Drosophila melanogaster: one gene and its partner. The gene in region 1 interacts genetically with each later gene. Each region holds a gene or a part of one and is shown on either strand. Other genes may lie near its edges. The genes, in order: Mmp1 and Sema1a.

What was found.
Region 2: of Mmp1 (region 1) and Sema1a, changing one suppresses a phenotype caused by changing the other (phenotypic suppression), as found in Drosophila melanogaster (one study listed by BioGRID).

What each region holds. Positions count from the first base shown.
Region 1 is NT_033778.4:24,672,920-24,688,879, forward strand, and holds the start of Mmp1 (matrix metalloproteinase 1), read right to left. Parts: upstream 14,459-15,960; 5' UTR 14,084-14,458; intron 12,172-14,083; exon of another isoform or gene 11,788-12,171; intron 9,523-11,787; 5' UTR 9,397-9,522; coding exon 9,295-9,396; intron 3,681-9,294; coding exon 3,277-3,680; intron 3,207-3,276; coding exon 2,291-3,206; intron 2,223-2,290; coding exon 2,054-2,222; coding exon of another isoform or gene 2,019-2,053; exon of another isoform or gene 1,757-2,018; intron 398-1,756; coding exon of another isoform or gene 360-397; exon of another isoform or gene 1-359.
Region 2 is NT_033779.5:8,535,075-8,551,363, reverse strand, and holds the start of Sema1a (semaphorin 1a), read right to left. Parts: upstream 9,218-16,289; 5' UTR 9,152-9,217; intron 8,152-9,151; exon of another isoform or gene 7,649-8,151; intron 6,821-7,648; 5' UTR 6,131-6,820; intron 1-6,130. Other genes in the region: CG17834 (uncharacterized protein), read right to left, coding at 10,128-10,906, 13,901-14,133, 14,293-14,470, 15,096-15,157, 15,285-15,304. UniProt on the Drosophila melanogaster protein: Involved in growth cone guidance through its role in axonal repulsion. Function in neurons is essential for adult survival, motor neuron survival, and is important for climbing behavior and activity.

The DNA of each region.
Region 1 (15,960 bases):
TAAAGCAATATCAAGGTTGCATTCTGGGAGGACGGGATGTGCGATGCGATGGGGTCTAGCAGTCTAAAACAGGATGATACTACGTGTGAGCAGGAAGAATCAGCATTGCCGCACTACAACTACACACACAAGATATATGTACGGGAGAAGAGGCGGGAAAGGAGAAGAAAGACAGTAGCAAGCAGCCAGAAGACCGAATGCCATGTGCTATGGCGGCTCATTCGCTTTGTGATTCTTCTGCGCCATGAGTCTTATGTATGTGGATGTGGATGTGGTGGTGGTGTGGGTTGTTATGGAGTCGATGTTCGTTTTGTTCGGCTGTTGTTGTTGCTGTTGTGCTTTCTGGATGTGTGCTGTGGTTAATTGTTCTTGTTTTTGTATCCGCGTCTCTTAAAGCCTGCAAGAAATATACATACGTACATACAGACAGATGACAATGACGAATACGAATACATTTGGATTGTTCGGCTCTTGTTGAATGCAAATTAGACGATTATGGGCCAGGCACGTGCATGCGAGTGTTAAGTGAGATTGGGTCATAACGGGAGTGGATCACATATCACTTAGAGAGCCCATATATCCAGCATTCTTACAATACCCTCCGACTTTCCGTGCCATGCAGGTGGGAATCTTTTGTTTGCTCCATGTTAGTACAATTTCAGTTGTTCATGCAATTACTTGGGTGGGCGTGTGGAGTTCGGATATGTGAGTGTGTGTTGGGTGGTGTGGGTAGAGTGGGTGGTTGGAGAGTGAGTGGGTGGTTTTAGGTGCGGCTCAACCCAGCCGCTAGCCATTTGGAATTTTGTGCCGAGGGTGCCAAAACAAGGAAACGGTTACGCATAAACATGGTTCGAGGTTCTGCGATTTCGACTACAGGGTATAGAGTTTAGTTCGGGGAGTGGAAGATCAAATATTAACAGTACCATATCTAGATATATACTTAGTGCTACGGAACTACGGAGCTTAGACCATAGGGTGGGGTGTTCTTTTTGGGGGTTTCCATTTTCGGAATTTGTGGTGTTTAACAGATAGTGTTGCTTGCTCTTGGGATTAGCCAGTTAGTAACTATTGCAGATGCTATATTGGATTTGGTTAGGCGGTTAGGAACAGCGCATGCAACGATCGTGACTTATAGGCTAGGAACATGGTTTCCGGTGGAGTTGATCTGGGACCTCAGTTAGTGAGACCGACTGACCAGTAGTTTTGGTTGTTGTTGTTGTCGTTGCGGCTGATAATTGCTAATATATTCTTTTGGCTACTAAACTGTAAGCAAGGTATTATATTATTTGTGTTTTTATATTCATTTTTTTCTTTTAAGTATCTTTGTACATGGTATGCTAAATTGAGTTGGTTAGTTTAATAGAATCAAAAAACTAAAAGTACCAAAAGCGTTACCAAGGATGGGTTAGTTAAGTTAATGGAAAGAACACATTGTTAGTTGAAGATGAAATTAGCAAAGTTGGGTTAGTTACAAAGTTTAGTTAGATGATTAGTACAGCTAGTTTAGAAAAGTAATTACAACATTGGTTTCATTAAAATTAAGCTTAGAGGCTTACTCTATAGAAAAGTACTTTCACCAAATAAAACTCAGCATGAAAGCACTGAAACAAAACTAAAATAAAACACCACAAAATCAAGACTAGGAGAAGGTAAAATTTTACAATATTTGTATAAGGCACACGCTATATATGTATATACATATATATATATATATATAGACTGGCAAAAGACATTTGACACACACAGTTTGGTAATTAGTTTTTCAATAGGTATTATAAATGTATTTCTTCCATAGGCAACAAAGACAAACACATTCGACTTGAGTACTAGAATTTCACTACATAGACATTAACTTAATTAAACATACCATAAAGATAGGATTTATTAATATTATCATTTCATTACTTGTAACTGCTTCTCGCTAAGTAACAACTCATACAAGACTTCTTTCTATGAGATCTTTTTGACTTTCAGAGTTCGGGATTCGATATTCGTGGATCCAGTAGATCGATTCGAGCTCAAACAAAACTACCGCTGAGTCGGTCCCACTCACCTGCGTCAAAGTCATCACCGTTGCCATCGTCGGCATGCGGGATCATGGAGTGCTGTTCGAACTCGTTGTCCGAGCCTTCGACGATATTACCTGTGGACGAGGGCGTGTTCTTGCAGCCGAACCACCAGTGGGCGGTGGGTCTGGGGAAGGGGGGCGTGGCCGAGTCAACCTGCGGGAGTCCAAAAGAATAAGGTATTGTTTTAGGTATTGCTGAGATCCCCAGCTAGCAGTACTTACAGCAAATCGGGCGTCATGGAATCTGTAGTACTTGTCGCCCTTGAAGAAGTACGTGTAGCCATTGGTGTACTTCAGCGCTGCGTCCAGGTTGTTGGGAACACCCTCCCAGTTGGAGATGGGCTTGGGATAGCTAGCCTTGACCGGCGGCCTCTTGGCCGGATCGAAGCGCCAGAACTTGCTGCCCTTGAAGAAGTATATCTTGCCATTGCCCCCCCAAACCATTGCGGCGTCCAGATGGTCGGGAATGCCCGTGAAGCCCTCGCTGATTTCCTTAGGGTAGACGCCGTCCATCTGACGGCCCTGGTAGCGCCAGTACTGAGTACCCTTGAAGAAGTACGTCTTGCCGTTCTTGTAGGTGAACGCCGCATCGATGTTGCCCGGCAATCCCGGCCAGCCCTTGGAGATGAGCTGTGGGTAGCCCTCCTCCACGGAGTCCGTGGTCAGCTTGTAGTACTTGTCGCCCTTGAAGGCGTAGGTCTCGCCCTGCGCCGAGTTGAAGAGTGTGTCTACCTTGGAGTCCTTGCAGATGGAGTCGTCTAGTGGCACCTTTGGAGGAGAGTATGGCCGCTGGGTGGTGGCCGGGTACACGTTGGTAGGCCTCAGCTGGTTTGTTTTGCGCCCATACAGTGACTGGATGGCCGCCTTGTCGTCCTCGTCCAACTTGAAGACGGGTTCAAAGCCGCGATAGAAGGGCGCCATCAGAGCGGAGCTCTGATCTGAGTGGGAGAGTCCCAAGGAGTGACCGAACTCGTGAGCGGCCACCTGGAACAGATTGGTGCCTCGAGGAGAGCCAATGGTCCACAGTTCCGCGTCGTCAAAGTGGGCATCTCCGCCAAAGACAGGGAAGAAGGCATGCGCCAGGGTGCCGCCTTGACCGTCAAAGGCATCGCCGTCTCCATGCTCGCTCTCCACGAACCTGGGAGTAAGGGAAAGGAAGGAGAGGAAGATTGGCAATTGTATTTAATAAAGGCTTTTGTGGTACTCACTTGATCTCGATGTGCACGGGGCCGGAGGTCTTCCTGGTGAAGGTCAGGTCGGTGTCCTCGGACCACACGGCAAATGCGCGACCGATCTCCGCGTCGACATCGACTCGCTTCAGCCGCTTGGGGTACTTGGAGATCTTGTAGGTGAGGTTCTTCACACGCCAGCGACTGCCCTGCAGGGCGTACCGCTTGGAGCGGCTGTCACCGGTGCCGACGCGATCCCGAACTCCGCAGCGGGGCAGGGACATCAGCTTCATTGTCTCCGCATCCAGCTCGCCGGTGATGTTCAGTCCCGCGAAGCTTTGGAACTCCTCGATGGCACTCACCCAGGTCCGCTGGTCGTGTAGCCCACTGCTGGCGGGATTGCGGGCAGAGGCGGGTAGATAGCCGAACTGGGACAGGTAGATCTGGAAGGAGGGAGGAAGGAAGGCTTAGGGACAGCTGGCGAAGATCAATGGGCTGCGACCGATGGCCACCCGTCGCGGCCAACTTGATTTATGACAATCAGATTAGTCCTGGCTACTCTGTCGCCTTTCCTTTCCATCTGACTTGCATAATTTACGACCGCCTCACTGGCTTCCACTTTTTATAAATAAACCAGCGGGGAAAGGGGCACCATGTCGTATGCTTCATATGCATGTACCCATATCCATACAGATAACCTGCGAATGCGACGTGACTGGGAAAGGTGTGAAAACGCTTAATCGATCATCAAGCATCGGCAGCTTTAAGGAAGCGATCACTGGCTAATTGTAAATTGTAAATTGTAACATTGAGAAATCGAATGAAAACAGTTTGCGCATCAGGGAAGTGCACTGCGATCGGAGAACAATGCGAGGTTATCTCAACAGTTAAGTGTTCACTAACTATCTAACTATCTAGCTACATGGAATTTGCTTTCTGGCCAATTACAACGGCAAACTGTCTTACAACCGCTTGTTTTATGCGCTTAACGTTTCGGCAATGCGATAATACGATTTTCGACTTGGCATGGGCATCAGGTTCCCCGGCCGTTTATGTGTCGCACATTCTTAATGACTTAATGCCGCCGCTCACATACATATATATATATAGTATATAGTACATGTTGTATAATGATTTGCCGAATCTTGCATAATGCCAGCTGACTGTTAATTTTATTGTGTTCTTTCCGCCTGCGAGGAAGTAAACATTTCGCTGGAATCTTGAGTATTCGAGTCGCGTCTGCTGCCAGTGGCTCTGTGATCTTTTTCTGGGTGGGTTGGCTACCAGTCTTTACTCTTCGCCACCGATCAGCTGGGTCCGGTCCGTTCCTCGAAAGGTAAACGAACTGTAAACAAAGCACGGTTCGAGTGGAGAGTATCTGTCACTCATCTCCGGACAGATGCAGATCCACTCCAAGTCCAGATTCCCATTCAGATTCAGAGCGATTGTAACGACTCATCTGCGATCTTAGCAATGCCTCTTTGTGCAATTAACATAATTACTCCCATTTGGCGGGCACGAACATCTTCGATTACCGAGAAGGTGCTATGCCAGTATGCTTGGGTAACTGTGGGGCTTGTAATGCAGCTTTTGTTATAGAACAAACAGACTGACAGCAATCGAATGCATTGTTCGGCGACGCAAACACGACTCTTTCGGTTATCTTCCATCGATAAGATAACCCCCATTGGCAGCAAACAAAAGAACACTCAACCTGTCCGCAATTGAGTCATTTCTGACGCATTTTTCATTCAGAAGGCAATGCGTCACAAGGCGAACGGAAGTCGGGGCTAGACCGGAAATGCTGGGGCACCCATTTAACACGGCTTACGTTTTTCGGGACTCATCGCTCTAGGCTTTCCATTCAGCTGCTCGGTGGCCAATGGCCATGATTTGAGTGCATCCACGGCGATTTGGATACACATGCATTTGCATGTGATTACCGATTCTCGGCGGGATTGGATCGGACAGATGCAAATCATTGGAAATAATACGCGCTCCAGGGGTGAGGGCCTCTGCAGTCGGGTCACGATTCGGAGGGCGTTGAAATTGCACTTCAATTTATTATTGTACATTGACACACTTTTTTGCGCTCTGCTGTTTGGCGGACAGCCGAACAATAATGTCAACACAGAATGGCTTTTGCCACGACCCAGAACTTTAGGTAGTTCACTGTAAAACTAACTGAAAGTACTCTGTATATGGTTTGATCTGTACATGGGCTAAAACATATTCGCTTTAGCTGAAAGCGAGGTGGAATGGAGTTACCCCAACAATTTGCAACTTACTATACCCAGTAAATATTTATACATTTCTGTATGTGTACTGCCACCCAGAAACTACCAGTTTGTGGGGGGAGGTATCTATTCAGTTGGCTGACCTGCTTGCCTGGTTTACTTAGTCGAAGGAGTTGAACTTGCAGGACGTGGCCCACGGGGTTTTGTGAGCGATTGCGAACTGTAGAGCTCGACTTGGCCAAGAGCTGCAGGGGTGTGTGTGAGCCCAGGAAAGTATGCTACAATCGCAGTGCAACCTTCAAATATTTAACACAATTTGCACAGGTGCAAAGTTGCCAAGTTGATTTGATTTTGCAGGGGAAATGGCATTGCAGGGGCAGCCCCATCGCCGAGTCATTGAACTTTCACCCATTTCAATTGGAGGCGTGCTGCTCCACCTCGTTTATTTCCGGTAGAAACAAGAACAGGACATGCATAAATAAAAACGAGTATCGTTTTGTGTACAATTCTCGTATACATCGGCAACGTGCCCGATGGAAATTGATGGGAAAATTATTGCCAACGGGAAAAGCAGGCGAATGAAAACTCTGGGGCATTCGTTCAACGTTTTTCGGGGGTGCGTGGTTAGTTTACCTGGGAAGGAATGCGGTATGTGGGTCAGCCAGGTCGTTGACTTTCGTCCGTCACACGGGGGTCATAGGTAGAAGGGATTCCATTTCTCCATTTCCCTAGGCAAGCTGCGTGCAAACAAACCTAGACCTAGTTGCACACATATTTGCGTGGCACGTGGCACATAAGCGAAAGTGTCTGCGACAATTAAAGGCAAATGGCGGACCTTTTCCCTGTGTTTCCCTGCGATTTTCCCACCGTAAGCGTGTGCAATTGAGTTGTCCAATCTCGATGCCAACTAGTAAACAGGCTTAACTGGCTTAAATGTTTTAGCGCGGCGATTACATCACCACCCCTCGCACCTCAGTTGCAAATCGAAGCGCAGGCGCCTCATTTGGCGGCATTTCTTTTGGGTTTCCATAACGAGTCGATTGGGGAGATTGTGCAGATTGAAAAGAAAACTCAAAACTATAACGAACGCAAACCAGACCGGGGAAACCAAAACAGAAACTGGGCCAACGGCAGCCTGAAATGCGGCTTAAAGTTGTATAACGATTTCAATTTAATTCAGAGGGAATTAATTGAAAGAACTTCCAGCTGGTTTTGCCATACAAATTGGGCTATGGAGCGAGTAATAGCAAGCAGCTTGTGTGGAAAAATTAAAGTTTAAAACTCGGTTCTTAGTTCAGGCTGCATAGCAGGGAAACTCCCACAAAGTGTTTGACATTTCCAGAAGGTGTCTTCCTTCTTGCAGCCCCGTTTGCCCCAAGTGGCTAATTTCAAACAGCGATAAATAAGCGTCAAGATGCTAAGATAACCGGACAATAAAAAGCGCTATTCATGCAAAGTCAGGCAAAAAAGGATTTTATTGCCGCTGCCATTCCGAAGCCTTTTTAGGCGGTTACCGGGTTGTTTATGGCGAGACGCGTGAAATGCTAAGCTATGAGTGACCTTGGGGAAGTCTGAAAAGGAGAAAGGATGTTGGCTCAAAGCAGCAAAAAGTGTCAGTTGTTTGTCAAGTGCCTCTCTGCAAGGCTGAAGCAGCCTTTTGTTTGCTCGCCTGTGCATTTGGCACCTCGCGAAGGTCGCACGCAACTATTTCATAGGCAAATCAATCAAACTCGGATACGAACGGCAAACAATTCACTCTATCGATTGCTTTTGGCCACGAAAGCGGGGAGCTGGTGGAAAAGTGCAAACTACTTGGCGAATTACCGGACTTGATTAGCTATATTTAGAGCAGGAAAGTTCTACGGGTCTCTCTGTTTTTTCCTTTGTGCGCCCCACCGCGATGACGAATGCGCCCCAGTGAATTTGAGTTTCGCTCATTGGCCGAGTAATTAACCTCTTGACAGCTCCATTATGCTCGCCACTGGCTTCGCAGCGCATGACTCACTGGGAAATAGATAGAGCAGATAGTTTTCCTGCTTCGATCGGATTGAGAAAGTGATATCTGATGGGGGCAGAATCACGATTGCCTCCTTGCTCCGGCGGTGGTCTGCACGATTTGCATTCTCCGGGAGATTTATGGGAAAGCATTTGGCATCGGCATCGGCAGCGGCTTCGGGAGGGATCTGAGAACAAAGAACCTGACATTGGAGAGACAAACACGTAACACCGTCGCCTTAGCTGCTTTTGGGGCGACTGGCCAGCGACAACGAGCCAAGTTATGGCCAACGCGCCCAACATACCAATTAGAAGTCGGGGATTACGTAAAACATAAATAAACCTAGAATCAATGTTAAGCACGCGCTAATGCGTGGCGTGATGGTATATAGTATAGTACCAGCGATTGGAAGCGAATCGACTGGCTGGATACTGTATCCATATCATCACCTGCTGGAGGCGGCGATCGTAAATGGGTAATCAGGAAGTTCTGGGTCCGCTTCTCCGCGTCTTCCCAATTAATTTATGCAAGTCTGTGGCAAGTAAACGTGATTAGCTTCGGGTAGATGGTAGATAGCGCATGGATTGTTGAATGTGTAATTGGAAATTACATTCGGCGAAGCAGCTAAACAGCGATCATGACAAGCAATTAACCGCAGATAAATATTTATAAATTGAAAGCGTGGAAATCAAGTTGCCGCGGGGAGGAATAATTCAATAAATCGAAAGTAATAATTCATGAGGTTTCGTTATCACTTTTTTTGGTGGATGTCTCTTAATGCATTTCAGGTGCGCCATTCGGAATCGAATGACAGGTTAAGAGGGCTTTAACTTGGAATTTCCCTCAAGACGGCACATTTGAATCATTTCTAAAATTAAACGTCATTTGAAACGTCTATAATAACAATTACATTTTTAATAAGAAATAAAAACACCTATTTCGCACACTTTCTATTGTTATCATGGCGTTTGTGTGTTTTGTGGGTTTTTAATATGTTCTTAGAATCTACTGGTGTAATGAGGGAATTTCTAGATCTATTATGCTTATCAGCGCTTTTATGGATATGAGGTGTTTTAAGCCGCTTTACTTTTATTTTTGAGCATTTGAAAATGAATGGCGCAGGGAGTGCATTTAAATCGATTTGCTGGGGAGTGAGTGGCGTGCGAGTTTTCCTAGTGGACAGCCACGTTTTCCGCTGGCCAATGTCACGAGCGATAACGATAGCGATAATCAAACTGCAATTAGCCGGCGGCATGCACTTCCAGCCGTCCAACTAAGGCTAAGGCCAGAACCTCTGAGCCGGGCCAAAACCAAGCCGAGTGTGTGAGCGGAATAAATTCCGTTGACATGCGATTGCGATGCGCGTTAGCCTGTTGCACAGACACACTCGTGAATACGGAACATTTTGTCTGGCGGAAAATTGGGTATAATTCCCAAATGCATCCCAATGCATGCCACTCGGAGCTCTGAGCGCCTGGCACGCCCGTCATGCAAATCGGAAGTGGAGCCTCATGGACTGACTATATAGTATAAATCGACCAGACAGAGCAGACAAAGCGGCTATCTCGTGCATTTGTCGTCACCGCAAGTGCAAAAAACCGATTCGGATTCGGAATCGGTCTCCGAATCTGATTCATTTCCATTCTGAGTTCGTTCCTGTTTAATTTCGTAATAGCAGATGCCATTATCCCCTGTTTTTACCACAGCAGTACAAGCTTTTATATAAATTATAGATGAACGGAAAAGTCAGATTCAATTTAGTCGGAACAATTTACGACGAACGTAGTTTCTGGTAATAACTTAATTATTTGCGCATAAACTTACCTCTGCCTGTGTGGTGGTGGAAACGGGTGCCGATTGAGCCGCTGCCATGATGGAAAACAGGGTGCCTACGACTATGAACACTGAACTTTGGCAGTTTGTCATTTTGTTGCTGTTGTTGCTGTTGTTGCTAATATTGCAGTTGTTGGTGGTTTTGCAGTGGGTTGCTCCCGAGGCTCGTCTATTTGTCATGTGGTTCCACTTGCCGCTGGCACTTTGAACTTTATATCACTGCAAAGGGAAAGGGTGAAGGTGGGGAAAAGGTCAATTAATATTTCATAAAGCCGGCCAAGTAATAAAACAGCAGCAAACAGGAACAGAGCGAATGGAAAGGGAGCAGGCCAAGTACAAGTGCAAAAGGGCGAACGGAAGTCAATCCACTCCACTCCACTCCACCCCAATCCCACTTTCCAACAGGTTGAATGTGGCACACATTCTGTGTGGCAGGTGGAACGGCAATCGGAAGTGGCCGGCGTTGCCGAGAATCGGGCGTTTTCAGTTGAGGCAAACAGTGTCCGTAGTAGTAGTAAGAAATAGCACAACACTTGTGTGGCAAACCCCTTATTATGCACGTAGGGCGAACAAAAAACAATTGCTGTTATGGGACCAAAAAGTGCACTCTCACATCTTGTCAAGCGATTAAGCCATTAAGCCATTAAGCCATCGGGCCAAGAATACCCCTTATCAGAGCCAAATATTTGCCGCCACCATATCTGTGTCTACCTAATCCCCGAGAGCATCTCGCATTCGTTGAGCCCCTCGGAGAACCAGCTGTCCTGTGCGCGATGTTTTGATCGGTCGAGATATATGTACATATGGTAGTGGTAAGTCATGTGGTCTAGTGTCTGGACAGCTCGGACGTCATAAACAGCTCGTGTAAGTTTAGACTCCAATTAGAATTTAATTTTAGACTAGTAAATACCAGGTCGGCCATAACCGTAAAGGACTGTGGGCCTCTTGTTGATATTCTGATATTTGGCTTGCTAAATATAGCGCAGTTTTCCACGGTCGTTCGTATTTCTGCTGATATGGATGGTGTTGACCTAGGGCGCGAGACTCGTATGTCTATGGAGATGTTTACCCCACTATATCTTGCACCTATGCTGATACCGATGCCACTACTGTCCGGCATCCGAGTGACAATAGCAGCAGCAAGTGGCCGAAAGTGACGGCGACATATCAAATACACACCGTGTAGCGCTCGCCGTTGCAAATACATGATATATCGTATGTATGTATATATCTGGAGCGGACACTGAACACTTAAGCCTGTCATTCTTGTTGTTGCTGACTAATCGCTGGGGATTTCGGAGCGGCACAGCTAGCAGTCTGTTTTATGCCAGGCAATTAGCCGCTAGATCCAGCCAAACAGCCAAGCGGCCAAATGAACAGGCGAATTTATTTTGAATGTACGCACACCCCATTGGCCCGCCGGTTTTATCTGATTACAATAATTTCGCTAAGCAAATACCATAAACAATTCCCATTTTCTCTTTGGGCAAATGTTTCGGCCGGGTTGAAGGTCGCCGGGCTGACAGTTTAAGGTTAGCGCCGTGTGGTTAACCCGCCTGATGGGTTGAAGGGGAAAGTGGGGATCCGCTGGGTTGTCATAACGGTGGACGCATTTCCCCGCTGTTAGATCAATAAAGCGAGTGAGTTTTAAGTGCTTTGGCCAGAGCAATCGATGGCGAAACTGCATTCAGAGCGAAAGTTGCCCTGTTTCGTTTATCGTAATGGTTACGTATACGACATGTAGCACACGTCTGGGTGTGTGCTCGATGTTCAGAATTGGGTCATAAGCAGGGCTTCTACTCGCTGACGATAAGGTGGATTTGGCCAGCTGCAAACCGGTTCGCCGGCTCCTTGCCACCTTCTCTGAGTTGAAACTCGAAGTTGGGATTTCTGCGAAGAGGCGTGAGTCAGGCATTGGATGCCAGCGCCCATTTAATCACGAATTAAAATAATAAATAAATTTGGAGTCCAACCAGTTTCGCCAAGATCGGCTCCGCCGTTGACGTGCGTTGAAAAATACCCCCAAGTTGCCCAACGACACCCAATTCCACTTGATATGTCTTTTTGGCATTGTTAGCCTTATCAGCTGTCTATACCCGTTGAGTACGGCCCGAGGGCGATAAGATATGGTGGCGATCGGCGGGAGTTATGTTGGGAGCTACCAAATGCATAGTTCGGGCATGAGTGGCCAAGTGTTACTAGAACTTGACCTTAGTGATAGCCACATATCACACGCCGGGTTGGGCAAGCAGTGTCGAAACAGCCCAATCCGCAGTGCTGTTCAAGTTCACCTCCAAAGCGGAGTGCTCAATGGGTTAGGTCTGATTAATGGGCTCGGACCCGCTTCTGGTTGACCTTTCAATTAGCTGGGCTGCCAGTGGGATGCAATTGCAGATCAATGAACTATCGCTGCTGCCTTTGTTGCTGCATGTCGCTTGCAACACTTACGATTAATTAATTAATTAATTAGCTCTCGGCACATACATTTCTTTCTCTTGTTTGTTGTCGCTGTCGTCGCTGCGTATTCCGCTGTGGATGTGTTGTCGTTGCTTATAATTTATACTTTATAATTCACAGTCGCAATCCTTTTGTTTTGCTGTATTTTCGAGCTGTGAGTGTGTCTTTATGTCTGGCTGCACTAATTGCTCGCTGGCACTTCCATTTTCCCGCTCGTTTCCGCGTTAGAAACCAAAACTCAAAACCAAAAAACCAAAACCCAAAACTGAACTCATTCACTTTTCGAATAACTTTCTTCGCGACTATTTATATAGCACTAGACTCCAACTGCGATTCTTATTCTATCGTGGTGACTTTTTCGGTTTCTCGCCGCTAAACACATCCGCCCTGGGCTGCGCGCAAAATTCAACTGATCTTCAGAGCTCGCTGCCGCACGACGACGACTGGCGATCGTGAGTGGAGCTTTCGAAGAGGGAAGCCGAAAGCTTTTGCGACTAACAGAGGCGCTGGCGATGCTTGCTTGTGGAGATGGAGATGGAGATTTCGTAGCGGGGGACAGCCGAAACCTGTTGCCAATAATCGAAGTTGTTCCTTCCGCGCCCCGCACCCCTTTCCGCTGGAGAGGAGGCGTATGAGTAATGCGCTTCTTGGAATCACCCGCACATGTGTCATACGCCGCTGGTCCAGCAAACAGCAACCGCTGCGGCCACCGAAACACTCGCCCTCGGTGGCACTTTACAGCTTATCCGAAGCTTAGCACATTACTCTCCCCGCTTCCCTTAGGCAAACGCTTACAACTCAGCGGATCTGGTTTCTTGAAATTCACATACGAATTCGAGTGAACTTCCGATCTGCCACACCTCGCCGCTAACCGAAAAGATTTTATGAATGAATCTGCGGTCTGGATTCCCCTGGTCAAACGGTTTCTCAATGGGCGTATGAGTAATGCGTAATTTCATGAGTGATAATCGGAAAGTGTATGTTTCACCGAAAATAAGAATATAGAAGTGTAAAAAGATAGGATAAGTGCCTATTACTAGCTGTGCTTGATAACGGTGCATCTACGCCTATTTGCCTTCATAAATCGTGTAGATTAACACATTCGCCTTTACAGCAGCCTGATTAGCACCTCATCTCTCGCGGACCCGTGCTAATAAGCTATTCATCTGGGTATCTTCTTCTGCGAATCGATAATATATTCGCCCTACGTCGGCACCACCCCATTAATATCAATTGAGTGCAATTTGGGGTGACTCAGCGGCCACGTGAATCAAATTGCCACCTAGCGCAAACAAATCCAGTAATCGGCCTGAGCAATTGGCTAGCAGCCCAAGCCCAAGCCAAAGGTTCAGCTGGGATGTAGCTGGAGAACGAAAAGCGAATCCGACAGCCACATAATGGGCGACATTCTGCTTTCACGACAGTTCCTGATGCGCTTTATGGAGCTGGCACATCCAACGCGACAGAACAGAACTTGGCAGAACAAAGCGGGGGCTGTGAGACAAATCGGATGCTGTTGCTGCCATTTATCCATGGACCAAGTGCATCTGGCTTGCTGTCAGCCCCTCTTTGCTTGCCCATCTGCTCTGGGCTGTGGGCCATGGGCCATGGGCTTGGGATCTGGTCTCTGGGCTCAGGGCTCCGTGGTCTCTTTCCATATATACACGAATGTATTCCTCTGTTATGGCAGTGGACAAGTTGACTTGTCGTCGCCGCCTGCTGTGCGATGCATTTTGCCCTGCTCCTCTGCCATCGGCACAATGAAATATTTATGAGTTTCTACTGCCTTTAAAGACAACTATTTATAGTATTTTTAGTCCATGCCCCATCCCGATGCGATGCAGTGCGCTGGCACTAAGGTTGGTTGCCTGCGCCGGCAGTGAAATTAACTTTTCCACGCCGCTTCGAATCAAGCGATTTCGCATTGACTTTTGCCTTTGAACTGTGCCAACTGGCCGAGCAGAACATATAATTGTCATACAGATGGAGCAGATAATGCTAATTGCATATGAATATAGTATTGTATATTATTTGAATAGAGTGCGCGGCTCTGACTTTGAGTGCGAAAAACTATTTCTAAACTCAATCACGTCACGGTCAGGCATCGATAGTATGTATGAAGTATCTGATGTGCCTATAATTATATGTATTCATGTATCGGAATGTTACAAAGCTCCTATGTGCCGACTGTTTGGGCAGCCTCTGTGATCCGCCCGCAATGTCAAATGCGAAGTCCGAGCAAAGATCGCTCTTGGCCCATTGATGCCCGTCGAGAAAGTGGAATTCCCTGGCGGACATGAGTCATCCTGGTATATCAACTTACCATACGGCAGACAGACGAATTGAGCAAACAGAATTTGCATAAACCAATTTGTGAAATAATCAGCTCGGTGCCCGTGCTCCTTCAGCAAATATTGCACAAAGCGACTTTTGTTTTCTTTAGTTTCTTCACAGGGCTGTTTCGAACTTATCGGGCTTATCTGCGACCGATGGCGATTAGATCTTGGTGGTTAGATAAGGCGGGCAAAGTCACTATATAGTCACTATCACTTGGGCGAATTTGGCTACGGCAGGGCACTATCCACACTCTACACTCATGTCCAGGGGGCTAGCACAGCTCCCAGTTTCCAAGCTAAGACTACTTGTTCCGCGAGAAGCGATAGCGACCGATTCACAGCGGGTTCCGATTGCTACTCGTTTGGCTTTTCTGTTGCTGTTTCAGTTCCAGCTCTCTGCCATTCCGCCTTCAGCAAAATAATGTTCGCGTCGTCGTCTTCGCCACCCCTACTTTTGTATTTCCATGGGGCTTGCGAGTGTGTGCGGGTCTAATGGCTAAGACCTGGGTCTGTCCGTGTTCGCTTCTAGTTTACGAGTCACGCGAATAACCACCGACACACCACCGCTCACACACACAGTCGTCCATAGGTGGAATCCTAGTTCTGGTGGTTGAAAATAGCTGGTCGCCCCCTGTTCCTTCGTCCCTTGCATGTGATTGTGGAGCAACAGGATTAGGAAGGAACTAGCTCTCTGTTGGCTTTAACTAGCCAGACTAGCAGACTGTGTACTACCCATGGCGATCGATTGGATATTATTTAACATAATATAACATTCCCTTAATGAAACCCTATTTGATATTGCGTGCATTTTTAAAAAACCAGCACTTATTTCTGGCGAGCAACATGGGGCTGGGGTAAAGCTCGTTCGGCTAGGACTCACCTTCACTGTTAACGCACTGTAAGCCAGAAGTTAGCAAGCTTTTGGCTAGCTGTTAGATCCACTGATGATTCACCTGAGGGCGCAGCTTTCTCTCGCTCTCAGTCTAAATTGGGTTTTTCACTCTGGGTGGAAAGCTTTTCACGCAGCGGAAGCACAAACTAATTTGTTTAACACTCGCTAATTTGCTTAGCTATACTATATCTTATGGAGATTTGCCTTCCGCAGCAAGCTGCCGTAACTGCAAGTTCGAGTGCGTTTTTGAGGCTCGCTAGTGCGCTAGACTGAGACTCGGGACGCTCCGCTTAGATTCTTTTATATGGCCGGGAGCAAGGCGATCCGATAGCGTTCCGTTCCGAGATCCGAAACGCCAGTCATTCAGCTCGGCTTGATGCCCGCGTCCTTCCCTGTCAGCACCCCTTTCGCAGTGCTAGGGGAGCTTCCTCGTTTCGTTTCGATAACGGGATAGTTACGCATCAATCCCGGCTTCTTGAGCGGATGAGTCATGTCAGACCGATCCTGAGAGTTCCGAGCATTGGTGCACGTGGCACCAATGTGGCATAGGTTATTGAGTCGCCTTCCACCGATTTTTCGGCTGCAGAACAGGCTGATTCATTTCGATTCACTCTGCTTCGACTTCGGTCGCTGTGATGCTAAATTTCGCTTTATATTGTTCTTATATTTTGATTTATACGCAATCAAACGTGCTGGAATGCCGTCCTCTTGGCTTCTTCCTCAAACGGCCACCTCCTCACCGACTCCCCACCAGGAGATTCGCGGGGAGAAGTGAGGGTGATGTCTTCTTTTGTATTGCAATTAAATATTTTGATATGGCTGTCGCACAGGCGAATAAACTAAGGATTTTAGATACAAAAGAGCAATTCAAATCGAGCAGGAAGTCTGAGTGATTGTTTGATTAACCGCACTGATTGATGGGGCCACTCCTTTTGGGTATCTCAAAAGAAATCCTTCTACTGGTGTCTTTGT
Region 2 (16,289 bases), on another chromosome or scaffold:
CAACCAGATCCATCAGCCCATTCAGGCCACACACACTCAGCCAGGAGAGTGTAAGCACCAACATCTGGAAGCATTTAAGTGTTAATTTTATAACTTTTGCTCAACAAATTGCGCTTCCCTTTGGATGAGCGAAGGACGAAAACTACCACAGGTCCTTGCCTTGGACCAGCTAGATGGCCAAAAGGATAGCTAGCTAGCCGCTCGGCACAGAGACTGGAATTTACATTTTCAATTTAAATTTGAATTTCAATTTTAATTGAGATGAAATAGACCAAATGAAGCCGAACTTCCTTGCCACCCCTTCTCCACATTCTATTATGCACACAATTTTCCATCTTGGCGCTTTTCTCTTCAGCCTTAACCCAATTACGCTCAAATTACTAAGCGCCACGGACGCTCATGGGTTAAATGCGGTGGCGTTGCCTCGGGCTAAACAGAAAAAACAAATTTGTTGAATAAGAATTCCATGCAACGATGGCAAAAAGTTCAATTTGCAGCTGTCGCAACTTTCGGCGTTGAGTGCACTTTAACCGGAGTGAACCCAAAACCAGACTTTCCTTTTTTCGGGGGTTGATTCTCCATTTCGAATGCAAATGCGCGTATGCATTACCAAAATATATTATTTTAGAGGGTTAGACCCCTTTTTTTTTTTTTGGTAAAAGGTTTGTTGTTAATGATGCTTGTGCCAAATGGCGAATGAGTCCTTCGTCCTCTCGTTTTCCGTTCGTTAAGAGCTCTACATCATATTTGTACTGCTCATTTGAACATTTCATTATTTTCGACTTGAAAGACATTTTTAATTTCACGTACCACATTCTGGTTTCATATTTATTTTTTGCGGTTTAGGTTATAAAACTTGTATACATTTATAGTTATATATAGTTAAAGAAGGTTTACGTTTAAATAAGGCTATGCTTATAAAATGCATTCCCTTCCAGTCAAATGCAACCGCCTAACAACAAAATTAATACTTTCATATTTGAGTTTTGAGCTGAGATTAAAAACAGCATAAACTGCAGGATGTCCGCTAGTATCATCGTAAAAATAAAATTCAACTGCGCATAAACCGAGCGAAAAATGTTTCAAAAATGGGTATAAGGATTTTTCATAATTCGCGCTAACCATAATTTATAATATCAATAAAGCGGAGGGAAAATCGCGGACTAAAAATAATAACCGAATATAAAACAAATGCCATGAAAATTGTATGCAAATGTAGAAGAAATCCCAAAAAATAGGCATATATATTTATACCTATATATACATGTATCTCTATGCATGTTGTATGTACAGGAAAAAATGGCAAACATTGAATTTTTAATTGCTGGAAATTTGTGTTCTCTGGTTTTTATGGTTTTATCGCGAATTTCTGTATGTCTGCTGGTGTTTGTGCACTTGCGTTTATTTATTTTGAGCCTTTTTATCGAAGTTTTCCCAGGTTCACCCAACGCCACCCACATCAGCCATTCAAATTATTAACTGCTTTTCACTCGAAACTATTTTTTTTTTTTTAACCATTACCGTTTTTCTGCCCATGCAAAATTTATACGTGTTTGTTATTTTCATGATAATAACTAAATTGTTCACGTTAAACATTCCATGAACGTTCAAATAAAAATAAAAAAAAACTCTGGCATATATATTTTTTTATATCTGCCTGTAGTTTGTGAAATCAAAAGTAAATAGTAATCAGAGTAATAACACTTTTTGCACCTTAATCAAAATTGTTAGACATGTTAAAAAGCATGATTCAAGCAAATAAAAATAATATAAATATTAATTTGTTAACAATTGATACAATAATATAACAGCACAGAATTTTCCGTTTATCGTGCAATCTTTGTAAAAAGTAAATAAATATTTAATCACATCAGGAAAATTAAGGAAAATAAAATTAACCAAGCCCGTAAACAAATTTTCGACTTGATGTGGTTTTCAGTGTGAATTTTCAACTTTTTTTTGCACACCGAGGTAATTTGTCAATTTAATTTAGTATTGTGAGAGTTATTCAGCTTAATTAGCAATTCAATGGACATAAATATTTGATAGAATTTTGTACCAGCAATTTCACCATTTGTTTCTGATTTACTAGAAAACAAGTGCATATATCTAATGCTTTTTATTAAAAATAAAATAGAGTAGATAGTGTTTGGTGCAAGCAGCAATTATGAAATTAGTTGCTATCAAACTGGGCCCTTTTTTTTCTTGTAATATTCAACAGCAAAAATGTTTGCCATAAAGTCATAAACAAAGAATGCTATTAAACAATTTTTGAACGGTAGCGCACTGATATAATTCAATAGGTTCATTAAAAAGTGTGCCATAAAAAGAACTATAGCCGCTTTTGTTGTTTACTTTTTTTTTGCAAATAACTTTACACACGCGAATGGCCATTGAAAAGTTTTAAAGGAAAGGGGAGAAGGGCGGGATTAGGGCCAAGGGAGAAGCTCTTTAAAGCAAAAGCTTTAATAATATTTTAATTAATAAATTAATTATATATTCATGGTTTTTATTGTGCAAGTGATTTTAGATTAAGTGGTCATTTTAATTGCGATTTTATTGTACTCCTTAACAAAATCCAATTTGTGCGCCCAACGATTTTGTATGCGGGCACAGTATTAAAAGTGGTTTGTAATTTAAGAACACATAAGTTGCCATTCATGTTCGTTTAGATAACATTTATATCAAGTGAAACTTACAAAAATTATACAATTTGTTATCAATAAACATGACTTTTATGTTGATTTTTTTTTTTTTTGCGGCAAAAATCAATAGATCAAATTTTTTGTTTTCTTTTTTTTTCGATTTAATTAAGCGAAATCCATTTGTCCCTGCCATCTGCCGATTTTTCCCAAATCCATGGTAGGTGTGGCCGAGATAGCAGAGCTCGAATTGAGTGTCAATGATACCGTCATTAAATCAATCATTTTGGCCAGTCAGCCAGCCAGCCACTTGCGGTCTTAATTTGGTCAACACGCCAAGGAATATTTTCCTACCTTGGCTGCGTTATTTGTTTTTCTCTGTCCTTTATTTAGAAGTGTTTACTTTGCTTTCTTATTTGCCCAAAAATTCTTCGACTATTTTGTTACTCACATTTCATTTTTGCAGGCCTGACAAAGAAAAATGATTATAATCAAATAAACGACGAAATTCTTTACCGATTTTCCTTCGTTTGGTAAATAACAAGCATTGATATTGTCCCGATATTGATTGGTTTTGTAATTAATGTGAGTAAATTATTTTCTTTGTAATGTAATCTAACATTCTTGTTTTTTCATAATTAAATCATGTCGATAAATAATGACAGCAATCCAATGGCAGAGTTAAATAAAAACTTTAAGCTTTTTCCTTGCCAATAGAAGGTAAATCATGATTCTAGCCAAATTGGAAAAAATAGAAGATACGAGTGGAAAATAGGGCATGGGGGGGGGAGAAAAAGAGTTAAAATAACATTTTAGACTCGTGTATCTTGATTAGTACAAAACGCCCACAGCGCGGATCTGGAAAAACGAAACGAATTCAGTTTTTTTTTTTTTTCCTTATTTATTCCTCTCTGTGTTGTTGGCTATAATTTCTGGTAAAAGCAGCTCTAGCTGCACTGCGTATTAGTCAGATTACAGTGGCAACAAAATGGGAAAAACACCACTAGGTACAGATACAAATGCATTGGGGTACCAACAAGATTTAGGCCGTAAAATAATTCATGATTTTATTGAAATTTATTAGCATAAGCATGGGCACCATTGTTGTTTTGGAATGTCTAGAAAAAGCATCTCATGGTTGCGACGCTACACTTTTTGCTCCTATTGCCAACTTGCAGTCTGGTCGAGATGAAATCGTAGAAATTGAATTGAATCGCTTTGGAGTTGGGGGCCAAATGGCGAATGGCAAATAGCAAATGGCAAACGATATGCGTATCAATGGATAACAAAACGAGGAAAAATTGTATCGGTAGACAACTACAAATAGCAAACATTGCAAAAGAAGAAAAACAGTCCAAGTGCTACCAAAACACACAAATGCGAACCAGTTAGCCAGTCGGAAAGAAACCGAGTTCAGTCAGTGATGTTAATTTTTATAAAATAAAATCACTAGTACTTTAATAAGAAACATATAAAGCTTAATTTGTGATAATCATATAGTAATGTTACAGTTTGCAAAACTAGAGTATTTAATTTTTATAAATTTATTTATTTTCATCTCCGCCAGCAAAATTAATAAGTATCTCGATATTCTGGCTATTTTCCCAGCACTTTTGCTGGCCAACTCCGTTTGAATTTGCCTGTTAATCCATCTATATGCTAGTCTGCTCATTCAATTTCTTCGGATGTGATAACTTACTGCACGACTTTGGCTTTTCTAGTCTTGTTTGGTGGGTAGATGGAGGATTTCCACCACCCACTGCGCTCAGCACCCGCACATTTAACTGAAATGTAACTTTTCTATCCGCGGCACTGTTGTTGTTGCGCTTTTCCTTGGCTCTTTCTTTCTACACATATGTGTATCTTGAACGCGTTTCGTTGTATCTACTTAAGGCAGCTTAAATATTTGTGTAACATAATACAAAACATACGGGCTTCTTTGGTTATACTTAGATACATAGATTAGATACTTGGCTAGGAGAATGTGAAATGGGCCGCAGAGTGGCAAAGGAGGTTGAAAGCCAGAAGTCCACAGTCATCTAAACCACAGTCTAAGCTCACCCGTCTTTGCACAATGGGAAGCAAATATAGTTTATTAATAAAAAAGATAATTGATTAAAATTTAATAAGAGAAATTCAGAGAATTTGAAGAAGATCATCAATTGTATTTCAATTCTTATCAGATACATTTATGTCGTTTACCATGAGAGGGGGAATCAAATTACCATAAGAACTTGGAATAACATTTCAAGAAATGACCATTTACAAAAATGAAAGATTCAGGGGAAATACAACATCCCATTAGGCTAATCTCAGCGGATTAACGTAGATGGCTCTCTGTTAAATTCCTAAATATGCAAGCGATTAAAAGATTAAAGCTATCAAAAGCGATGACGAAGACCATTTCTCGAATCGAAAATGTATCACAAAACGAGAGTAAAAAAGAGGCAATCACAGATAGGAAAAGAAACAGATTACAGCTGTGAAATCGGTTAAGTAATGCAGACATAAATGCGGGTGAAGCAGAACTAAATCAGATTCCCGAGTGGAATATTCAATTTTTTCAGCTTGCGTGTCAATGAGTAGGCGCTTAAGGGATTGAGCACATAAAAAATACTTCATATGAAGTGTACCAGTTTAAATTTATCAAAACAAATAAAAAGATCTGATAACCAATTTAAAAACCCCTCTTTTGGGTATTAAAATAAATAAAGTTTTAGTTATTCAAATGCAACCTAAGAACTTGGCAAAGAAATTGTTCAAACTGGCATCTTTATGTTTTTACTTAATAGCTACCACATTTTTATCAACATTTCCAAATCACTTGTTGTCGGTGTCCCTTTTCTGTGGTTCCCACTGTAGCCGTATCTTAAGTGTTTGGTTCGCCTTTGTTTTCCCGACCGTCCAATCATCTGCTCCACTGTGCCGGGGTATCAGCGTGCTTTGTTTACATTTCAAATGGAAATCGCTCCGTTTTGTATCTCTGTCTGAGCTCCGATATCTCCTGCTGTGTGTCCGAGGGTATATTCCGTATCTGTCTGCAAAAGTGCATTTCAACCATTTTCGGTTTGTCCTAATGAGTCTCGTCCAATGCCCACACCCTTCGCACTCAAGCAGTCGTGTGTGTGGCGTACGCAAATATCGAGAACGACTTTTGCTGACCCTACCAAGGTATGTCCTTCCTTATCCTAGAACGTGGCCAAAGGACAATACGTGCGCTAAATATAGATATTTCCCGGCACGACCGATGTGCATCCACTTAACCCTTGAAAAAAAACAACAATTTTGGGAGCTGAAGGCAACAAGACCCAGTGTTAATGCATTTTCGAACATCCCAATGTATCTGGCATAAAATACGTTCTGATTTTCCAGAAAATTAACTCCACCATTTCCTGCGATTAATCTTAATCCAAATGACTATGTTTATAAAAATGCGACACTTGGATTGCTCTTACTATATTTAATAAGATATTTATTTCTAAACGTACCTTTCCAAAAACTGTCCAGCAAAATGAATTGTTCAAAAGTTGAAACTCCGTAGACGTTGGAATCCAAAATATTCTGAAGATTACGCAATTGATTAGTCCCAGCGAGTCCTGTTTATCGTTTGTTTGCTGACATTGATCGATTGATTGGGCTGTTGTTGTTGTTGTGGTTGTTCTGATAGCTCGATTATCGATTCGCACACACAGACTGGTGAATTGGAATTTTTTGATTCGCACCGATCGCTTGTCGTACTTAAACAAATTATAGACACTTACACGAGACAACACCGAAGAACACAAATTTGTTATATTTACTTTATACGCAGATTAATGCCAGCGGACGACGATGAATAATAGGATAACAGCAAGAACAACAACAACGATGCACGACGACGACGACGACAAATATTGTACATATGTACAGAGGATACAAGGACTCACGCACACAGATGCAGACGCAGATGCACGGGCGCGATAACGGTTATATCGGATATATGAATAGACGAAACGACGAACGGGGGGGCGGGGCGGTGCGGTGCAGGAGTCGAATTAACGCGACGGCGATTATCCCTTAACGGTACCGGTTCTTCATGCGATAAGTAGGCTACGGATGCGATTTCTGAGCATATTTTCTTGGTTTATTCTTTTTCTTTATTCAAATTTGCCTTATTCACTTTGTTTCTGGCTTAAATACTGTGGAAATGGGAGAAGGAAAACTGGATTAGATTTCAGTTTCCCAATCAAAAGTTATGGCCGCAGGAAGAGCTTATCTTGAACACAAATATCTGGCATGTAGGGCTTTTTGAATTAAAATTAATATTTGCTACGATATGAAACACGATTTGATGAAGAAATGATCAAGAAATATCAATTGAAACACTTTGTAATTCAACTTTTTTCCTGATAAATTTCTTATTATGACAACAGTACTTTAGTTTTCTTTTTTTGGTTGGCAACGCGCTGCGGAGAGATGCGAATGGGGGGCACAAGGCAGAGTCGAAAAACATTATGCGGGGGGTGCGTGAGTTTGAGGAAGAAGAATAAGAGAGTGCTGCTCTCTCCCACTCTTACTCTCACTCTCTCTGAGTCAATTTGAAACGCCGCGAGAATGAAATGCAGCGAAACGAATGGTGCACAAAACGTGGCCAGGAAAATAGAGAAATAAACAAAATATAAAAAGGATAATCCCAAAGAGAGAGGGAGGGTGGGTTAGCGAGAGCCAGGACCGTTTCATTCCCAAAACGTACCCAAAACAGAATACAAAAGCCTGGCTCTCCTTTCAACTCTCTCGCCCTCTTGCTCACACCCGCAGGATGGCGAAAAATCAATGAAAAATATGTGGAAAAATTGCCGAAATTGTATATTTTTGTGGATTCGCTCTGCTGCGGCCTAAACTTTGGGTGGAAACACAGTTTTCGTTATTTTCTTTTTCTAATGTGCCATAATATTCCAATTTTGTTGTGATTGCCAATTGCAATTGGGCAATTTTCGGCTTTATTATTGTTGCACACAAACACTCACACTAGCTCTCGATTGCACATGTTTCTAAATTGAGCAATTACCAATTTATTAATTAATGTACACAATGGACAAATCACTTTTCACAATTGCGCGACACAAAGGTAGCGGTGCTGGAATTTGTTTATCAACGCGAAAGAAACATTTATATCCTTGTCGAATATCCGGAAATTAACAAGAAAATATCTTGAAAAATAATATTTTACAAGAAACCAAATTTCGTTTTATGCAGCGTTTCTACCGGCGATTTATCCAATATTTTTGTTTATTTATTAATGCTGTTTTCAGATATTTTCCAACCGGAGCAACAACGCGCTGCAGCAGCGCGGGCGTTAAATTTTCGAATGAAAAGGGAACTCGCACGAAAGAGAGTTCAGTCTCAAATGGCACTTTCTCTGGCGCTAGGGCATTTTCCGCGCGTTAGTGCGTTTTCCAGCGCTGACTGCGAAGTCGCGAACGGTCACTTTTTCGGTTCTCTTTTTCTCTCTCCTCTCTTCTCTTAACAGCTGGTCAACAAACAATATGCAAATTAAAAAAAAAAACAATAAGGATAATTATTTTATTGACCTAAATATTAAACTAAGAGCGTGCTACTAAAAATTTATATAAAAATTGCAGGCCATAACACCATGTTATTTATATTACCGAATTTTATTGGAAAAAATGTTGTCTATGGCAAATTGAAAACATTAAAAAATATTAATAAATTTTTATCTAAAATTACTCAAACGATAAAATGCTTGAGCTCTTTTATTTGTTCACGCAAAATTGGAAAACACATACACGGTTAAGTTTCTTATTTCATAAACATATTAGTTTCTTGTGTCCTTTAGAAGGAACACGCTTAAAGAGAAATTTTAAAATGAGAGGCTCTCTTCAATAAGCCCTCTCCTCTCACTATTTCCTTTTCGTTGACTGAAACTCCCCCTCAATATAATCGGCCGCTTTAAACTCTTATTCTCCCTCGCGATACTTAAAATAATTAATTTAGTTATTCAAAAAAAATCAAGAATATTTTGAAAATTATGGAAAATACATAGTTTCAATTCAAATAGAAAATAGAAATAATGTTTGAAATTTCCGTCGTTCCGCTCTCAGTGGGCGCGGGTGAGACTGCGCCTGTCAAGGGCGTTTGTGTACGAATTTTGAATATCAACAATCTGAGGGCACGTGTAGAAAAAAATTTTTAAAAATTATATATTAGGAGAACACTTCTATAATCAGAAACCATATTTAGTCACCAAAAATAGTTCTTCTCGAATAATAAATACGTTTGGTACCTGGTACCTAATTGAAACCTGGCAGCTCTACACTCTTTTCCTATTAGGTTCTCTCTTAAAACGCGCTCTCTGTTTTGCCGGCCGTTTATATGTATTGCTTTATTTATAATTTACAATTTAACCAATTCACTTGGACACGCTTCTTATTCATATTTGTTTAATTCACAACTTAATAAATTATTAGGGCACTCTACGAAATATATTGTTTATGTTTTTATATGAGCACCTTGCAAATAAAACAACTAGAATGTTTTGTTGTACAAACAACACACACGCCAATACGAATGAAAACTGGTCGACTAGCGTTGCCATTGGGAATTTCTACAGCCAGTGCTACCATATTGGGTGGTAAGCTAAATGGGTCCGGCTTACAGTTACCCCTTAACAAAACTTATATACCCGTTGAAATGTGTTTCATTATATATCACTTCCAGGATGACCTAATTAAATATACATGTTTGACGTTTTTTTAAGCTATATGGTGCAATTTTTTATTTTAATTTGTTGGTCTGAAACATGTATTGCATTACTTAAATTTTGAAATTAAAAAATTAAAAAATTAAATTAATAAATTAAAACAATCAACAAAAAGTAATTTTTACATCTCTCCCCGACGGGGAATTGAACCCCGGTCTCCCGCGTGACAGGCGGGGATACTAACCACTATACTATCGAGGATGTTGTCTACCCACTGTCAAACAACCGTCTCGAGCTTGCACACTGTCTTCAGAGTACAAATGGGGAACAGATGAAATTGAAACAAGCATTCACACTCCGCAAACGGAAAACCCGAGTTTGACTCACTTTGTATAACATCCTCGATAGTATAGTGGTTAGTATCCCCGCCTGTCACGCGGGAGACCGGGGTTCAATTCCCCGTCGGGGAGATAAGTGCATTTTTTTTCAAGCTCGCATTTATTTCTTTTAAAATGGTACAAATAGATATCGTTTAGATTTTTATAAAGATTTATTAAGTAGGATCTTTAATCGCTGTTTTTTGTGGTAAAATACAATTTATTTTGTAATATCAATCATTAATTCAAAATGAAGTACATCTGAATACTGAGGAATTGTTTGGACAAGGTCATTGCTTAGAAGATAATACAGAAAACGCATAAGCAGGTACTAAAGGCTAATAAATTTAAAACATTAAAAACATGGACAAAGTGATTAACAAATAAATATGTATATCTGCAGTGCGACTAGTCAACCTGCTTGCCCTCGTCGCGATTTCGTTTGAAGGACACGGAATGAATAAGTAAGGGCGGTAGATTGCCACGCAGCATCTGGAGTCGTTTGCTCTTCTCCTTCTCTGGCCGTCGCAGTTCGTCCTTGGAGGACCCGGGCGAGGCAGAGGACGAGGCCATCGATGGCGACATGGAGGCCAGTGAACTGGCGCCGGGCAGCACCTCAGAGCTCTGGGTCAATAGCATGGCAGATCGACGGAAGTAGCGCGGCATGGAGTAATCATCCTGTGTGGCCCGAGCAGCATTCGCCGTTTGAATGGAATAGAGACTCTGCGATACCCGGTACTTCTCAATAGTGGGCGTGTCCTCGTAGTTCTTAGGCAGATTACTGAACGATATCGATGGCACCTCCGGCGTCATGCTGATCTGACTGCTTCCGGTCATCGTACCGCTAATGGAGAATATATCCGTCTCACTGGCCGACGAACGGACATTCATGTGCGGAACGCTCTTGGCGGATCGCAGGATCCGTTTGGGCGTGGTCGTCAGTCCACTGGGGTTGGCCAGCAGATGAGGATGCCGGTCGATGAGGCGAGGTCGCAGCACCACCTCCTCCATGATCTCCTCCTCCTCATCGGCCTTGTCGTCCTCCTTCTCCTCCTCGGCAATGGCCTCGAACTTTTTGGGAGTAAGTGTCGTTTGGCTACCCGACGGCGAGCATTCGGCCGAACTGGGAGCCAGGGTGAAGGTGATTCGCTTCTCGGTCGATCCTGTTCTCGCATCAGTGGCATCTCCTGCAAAAAGAAGATATACTCCGTTTAAAAAGTGTTCTGCATTTGCAAGTAACTAAACCCATATTATTTAGAGATATTGTCCTGATTTCATTGTACCCTAATTAGCCAGCTGCCAGAGAGGACAATATTATCTTTGGAAGAGTTGGAAAAGTAGATGCCATTGTAAGACGCATAAAAGGTTGGCAAACAAGATAACGGTTGAGTTCATGGCAGATAGGAAAGATATGTGCAGATAATAACTAGCCCTCGACTTTGGCTAAAATGGAAATTTTAGAGGCGGAACTTACTAGTTAAGTTTTATAGTAAATTTAATAGATTATTAGTCTTGCCTTCTTTTGACTTAATATTTCTGTACTCTTAAGATTTATAAATTTAATTTCATTTGACAACAAATACCCAAGCAATTGGGTAAGATGCATTTAAGCATCAAATGAGTCGTACCTTATCAGTATTATTTTTTATAGTATTCATTCTGATTCAGTCAATATTTTAGTATATAATTGCAATAAAATTTTGTTTCTTTATTTGGATAACAACATTGCGCTTTCAAGGCAAGTCATTTTCAAATATGTACATACTTAGTAAAGTCGCTTTGATAGTTTATTTGTGAAATGAAACTTAAAAGTAGGATAAAATTTAGCTGCAGTTAAAGATTATACTAATTCTGTTATGTAAAAATATGTATAGATACTTATGAAATCATTTAATTTACTGCCTAATAATTCTTAATCGGTAACTACTTAGATTTTGTTTTGAGAAAGCAAAATGTGTTAAACAATACAATATGACGTATGATTTAAGTATCGTCAAGACCCCCGACAATAAACGTCAGCTTTATAAGGTATAAGGTATAGGGTTCTGACGAAATAATATGATGTAGATGTGGAAATACTTAAAACAAAACAGCTATAAACTGTATAGGAGCCATTGACTGGCGAATCGGAAAAGTCATCCGACATTAGCAAGAGAACGTGATGACTACGTGAATGTAATTAAGATATCTCATACACACGTATGTATAACAATATAATTTACAAGTATAAATAAAAATGAAAATAGTACCGTGCATAAAACTTAATTGACAACTGAAACTGGGCTATTTATTGTTTACTGATCGCTGTTATTGTTTCGTTTTATTTCGAAATGAAACCTGAGATTATTCGAACATACAATCAATTAAACGCGATTTGTTAAATATCGATACATACAACACCTGCTGTTTAAATATTTTTAATTGAAAAGATCAATATATAATTGTATATTTAACATGCATAATATGAAGACGGAATTTATTTTCTATAGATATACTGATGTATTGATTATTTTTCAATTAACCTAAAACAAGTGAAGATGATATCTATATGTTATCATTTTTGCTTGGAGTTTTTAAATGTGTTCTATAGAATGAAATGACAGCTCTAAAGTTCTACAAATTTGACGATTTCTTTATTTTTATCAGCTAAGGAGGAATCGATTGTTAGCATGCAAAAACTGATTACCAGCTCGAGTTTCTTATCTATAAAAAAAATTACCTATACGTGTATTTTTGACAAAATACATAAATGGGCAGAAATATTCATATTGCATGGGTGTTTATTTGCTGTTAACACTCTTTTATATGGTCTCGATAAGAAAATCGAATATTTGACTAATTACGTTTGGTTCGTTTTGCTGATGGAATGGGCTTGGTGGCATAAGTCGGTCGCTGTGATTAACCATTTGCGAATATTGCGATAAATCAGTGGCGCAGGCCTAATAGCCCATTAAATCATCTCCAATTGCCAATGGTTTTATCTCTGCTTCCAATTGTGATAACAAATGTGTGACGTGCCGCAAAATATGTTTCTTTTTTTTATATATAACTCCAGATGAAACCAGTACCTTAAGGTGCTGTCTGCGTCATTGAGAAATAAAATTGTTAATTAAATTTGGACTCGGATCCAGATTTGTTCTTTTCCGCTCTTCCTCGTTTGGAGGTTCGAACTTCGAATGAATGAATTTCTTTTTTTTTTAAGCCAAATGGGGTTAATGGATTGTGAGTCAAGCCTGCGGAAAAATTTGGATTGCAAAAATTTGTAATAATTGTTTGAGCAAATGTGAAATTTGCTTTTCATATCGTCTTCGAAATTTGTTCATATATTGCTTATGCATTTTTTAGATTCCCTTTTTAATAAGCCAAGACTTTATTTGATTTTCGTAGATTCTCAGTGAAATCATTTCAACCACTTCTGAGAAATCTATCGAAAAACTGAACGCTTAGAATGTGAATATGTTTGACTAAGCGATCCCAGTCCCATGCAATTAGTAAAAGCTGTTGAGTAATGCCAACTTGACAAACAAAGCAATTGTTCAAAGTGCACAAAACAATTTGCTAAAATGATGGTAGGCGCGATTTAAAGGCACGACGATGTTGTATTAATCAGAACTTTTACGTAAAGATGAAGTCAGTAGTCAGTCAATTTAAATAGCACCTAAATATATATAAAATATGTGGAGCGTAAAAGTGAAAACCAAGCGAAAATTTTGTTTAAAAACTTTATGAAAATCATACTGTTTGCTCTTTGTCGCTTAGGACTAAACAATTACAAGGTCCAACAATTAAGACTTAAATGGTAAACGTTTAAGCTAACTTAAATTAGGCTACTTAGGAGTATAGATAATACTAAATGCCAGTCGCACTGGCATTGCTGTCTCTATCGAATATTGTGTAGCAACACTTACAGCTAATTAGTTAATAATATTAAGTCACATTTTGGCGATATTGGTCACTCTCCAATTGATTATATCCGCATTGCGAGAGTTCCTCAATCTTTGGCACAAATACTGCTAGTACCCATTGAACCCCAAAACCCATCGATGTTCAGTTCAGATAGAACTTGACCTTGGGCACACCGCTGGATACGATGCTGCTGCTGCGGGTGCTCTTGCCGCTGCTTTTACCATTAGCAGCACCACCCAAAAGTGGGGTGTGTGCACCACTGGGGCCATCATTACCTTCCAGACGTCGCAGCAATCGATCCTGATCGCTGAGCCGCGGAGTTGTCGGCATTTCGCGATTCGGCGAATGGATTCCGGCCAGATAGGTCTTGGTGCTGATCCGGTTCAGCTTGGTGGGCTGATGGTCCTGGAAGATTTGCGAATTGGCAAAAACCGCCAGTATCTCCGGTCCCAGGTTGGGCACATTGATCTGTGTCTCCCGACGATAGTCCTCCTCGTGGATCTTGGCGCTAAAAGGGCCACAAAGAAAACAGATATTGGTTATAATGTCAATTGATATGGCCAACAGTAAGCCAACACGAGCATGCCAATTAATCGCTAATCGCCAGCCAACCAAACAAAGTGCGAAATGCGATCTCTGGATTGGGATTTGATCTATCTATTAGTACCTCATTAGGCTCAGGCCCAAGCTCGAGTTGCCCTGCCTCATTTGCGGCTGATCGCAAATCGGTTGGGGCACCGTCAGCGAATTATTATTATCCACCGATGTCGGTTGTATGCGTCCAATGATCTGGCCATTTTTCCTGGACGCCAAGTAGTCCTCGTCCTCCTCGGGATTGTAGTTGGCTGAGAGGCAAAGAAAGAGCAGAAATTAGTAAATGAAAAAACCGTAATCTTATAAACAAATTTATTCCAGAAACTTCCGAGTCTTCTCTCCTTGAATTTCATTTTCAAACAAAATGTGAGTCTTCTACAGAAACGAATTTGATCTAAGCTATAAGCCCAACTCTACCTCTGGAATATTCTATCGTTAAATTCTTTTAAGTACTTATTATTATTCATTTTTTTATATAAAATAATAAAACTATTTTGCCTTTCTATACATGCAAGCATTTATGTAAACAAAACTTGTCGCAGCTTACTTAAGCGCAACTTTTTAAGATACTCTATATGCAAGTTTGGCAAAAGTGCCATAAAACTGATTTATCAGCTTGTGTTTTATTTTTTCCTTTTACGACTCGTACTCGATTTCAAATGCCAAACACGTTAAATCGCGCAAAAATCGCCGTAGCATTGTGCGTTTCAAGATCTTATTAGTTTCTTGTATGTGTGTGTGTGTGAGGCGTGCGAAGAGAGTGAGTATTTGAGTGGCAGTAGCCGAAGTACTCGTACTCGTACTCATTTTCAGGTAACCGTAACCAGAGTATCCGTATCCGTCAACTGCCCAAATCAAAAAAGCTCAAAAACTTACCGATGGATTCGTCGTAGCAGAAACGCTCCTCGAAGCAATTCCAGTAGAAATCTTCCCAGCAGCTACAAATGGAAATGGATAAAGAAAAGGCAATTCGGAATGTGTGTTAGCCAGGTGAATTGTTGGCTCGAATGCGGAGCAAGTTGTCAAGCGTGGTGGGGTAGGGGGAAATTCGTAGCGTTTACTCACTTTTGACAGCAGCGGCACATTTTGTTGTTGGCTCCCTACCGCTCTTCCTCTTCCTCTTGTTTTCTTGACTTTATTTACTCTCCGCTCGAATAAAAAATGAAGAGAATCCGAGTCCGAAAATCGTTGTTGTGTTGTAACAATGCTTTGATTAATTTATGATTTCTGTTTGGGAATAATAAATTAAATTCGGATTTGTTCGACGAGGACGAGTTATGTTGTTATTGTTTTTATTGCCTTTCTGCGGAGGAACGTGCGGTGCGTGTGACTCGTTCCAGAAATTTTTTTTCAGTGGCGAGCGGTGAGCGTGTGAAGACAGCTTTTATCGGCACATGAAGTGGCCCCAAATCGCGCTCTGATGGCGCTCTCCACCCGCTCTCCACTCTACACTGAGGGAAACACGCTACTGAATTTCAAGAAATTGGTTTTTGATTTTCGAAACCGTATTTTAAAATAACAATATGTTCTTATGAATATATTAAAATATTTTTTAACAAAACACTCAAATATTTTGTTTTATGTTTTTAGAAAAACGAATTTATTTATTTGAATTGAAGCGTAGTTCAATAGCGTCGTTGCACCAAAATATTGCTCATACGACACGTTTACCTTGTAAAACCATAACCAATTCCCGGCTATTTTTTTAATATGTCTCGATTCGTTTAAATATTTGTTAAATAATATCATGTAAAGAAATATTTAATTTATAATTTTTTACTGAGAATAATTTTTCCATGGACATTTTTTGAGTGTACGTGTGTGTGATAAAAGTGAGTACGTTTGAGAGGAGCTACTGGAGAACGCTCTCTTTCACCCACTTTATGAACTCATCTCTCTGGAAGTGGAGCTATGGCAGGGGGTGGTGGGCTGGGGCAGAGACATTTTTAGAGAGCCATTGATCGATCGCGCATGATAGATTACTGCCAGAGAGTGATGATTTTGCGACAATTTTTAACTATTTTAGGCGCTCTTTTGCTCTCCCCATTAAACAGCGCCAACTCTCTCTTT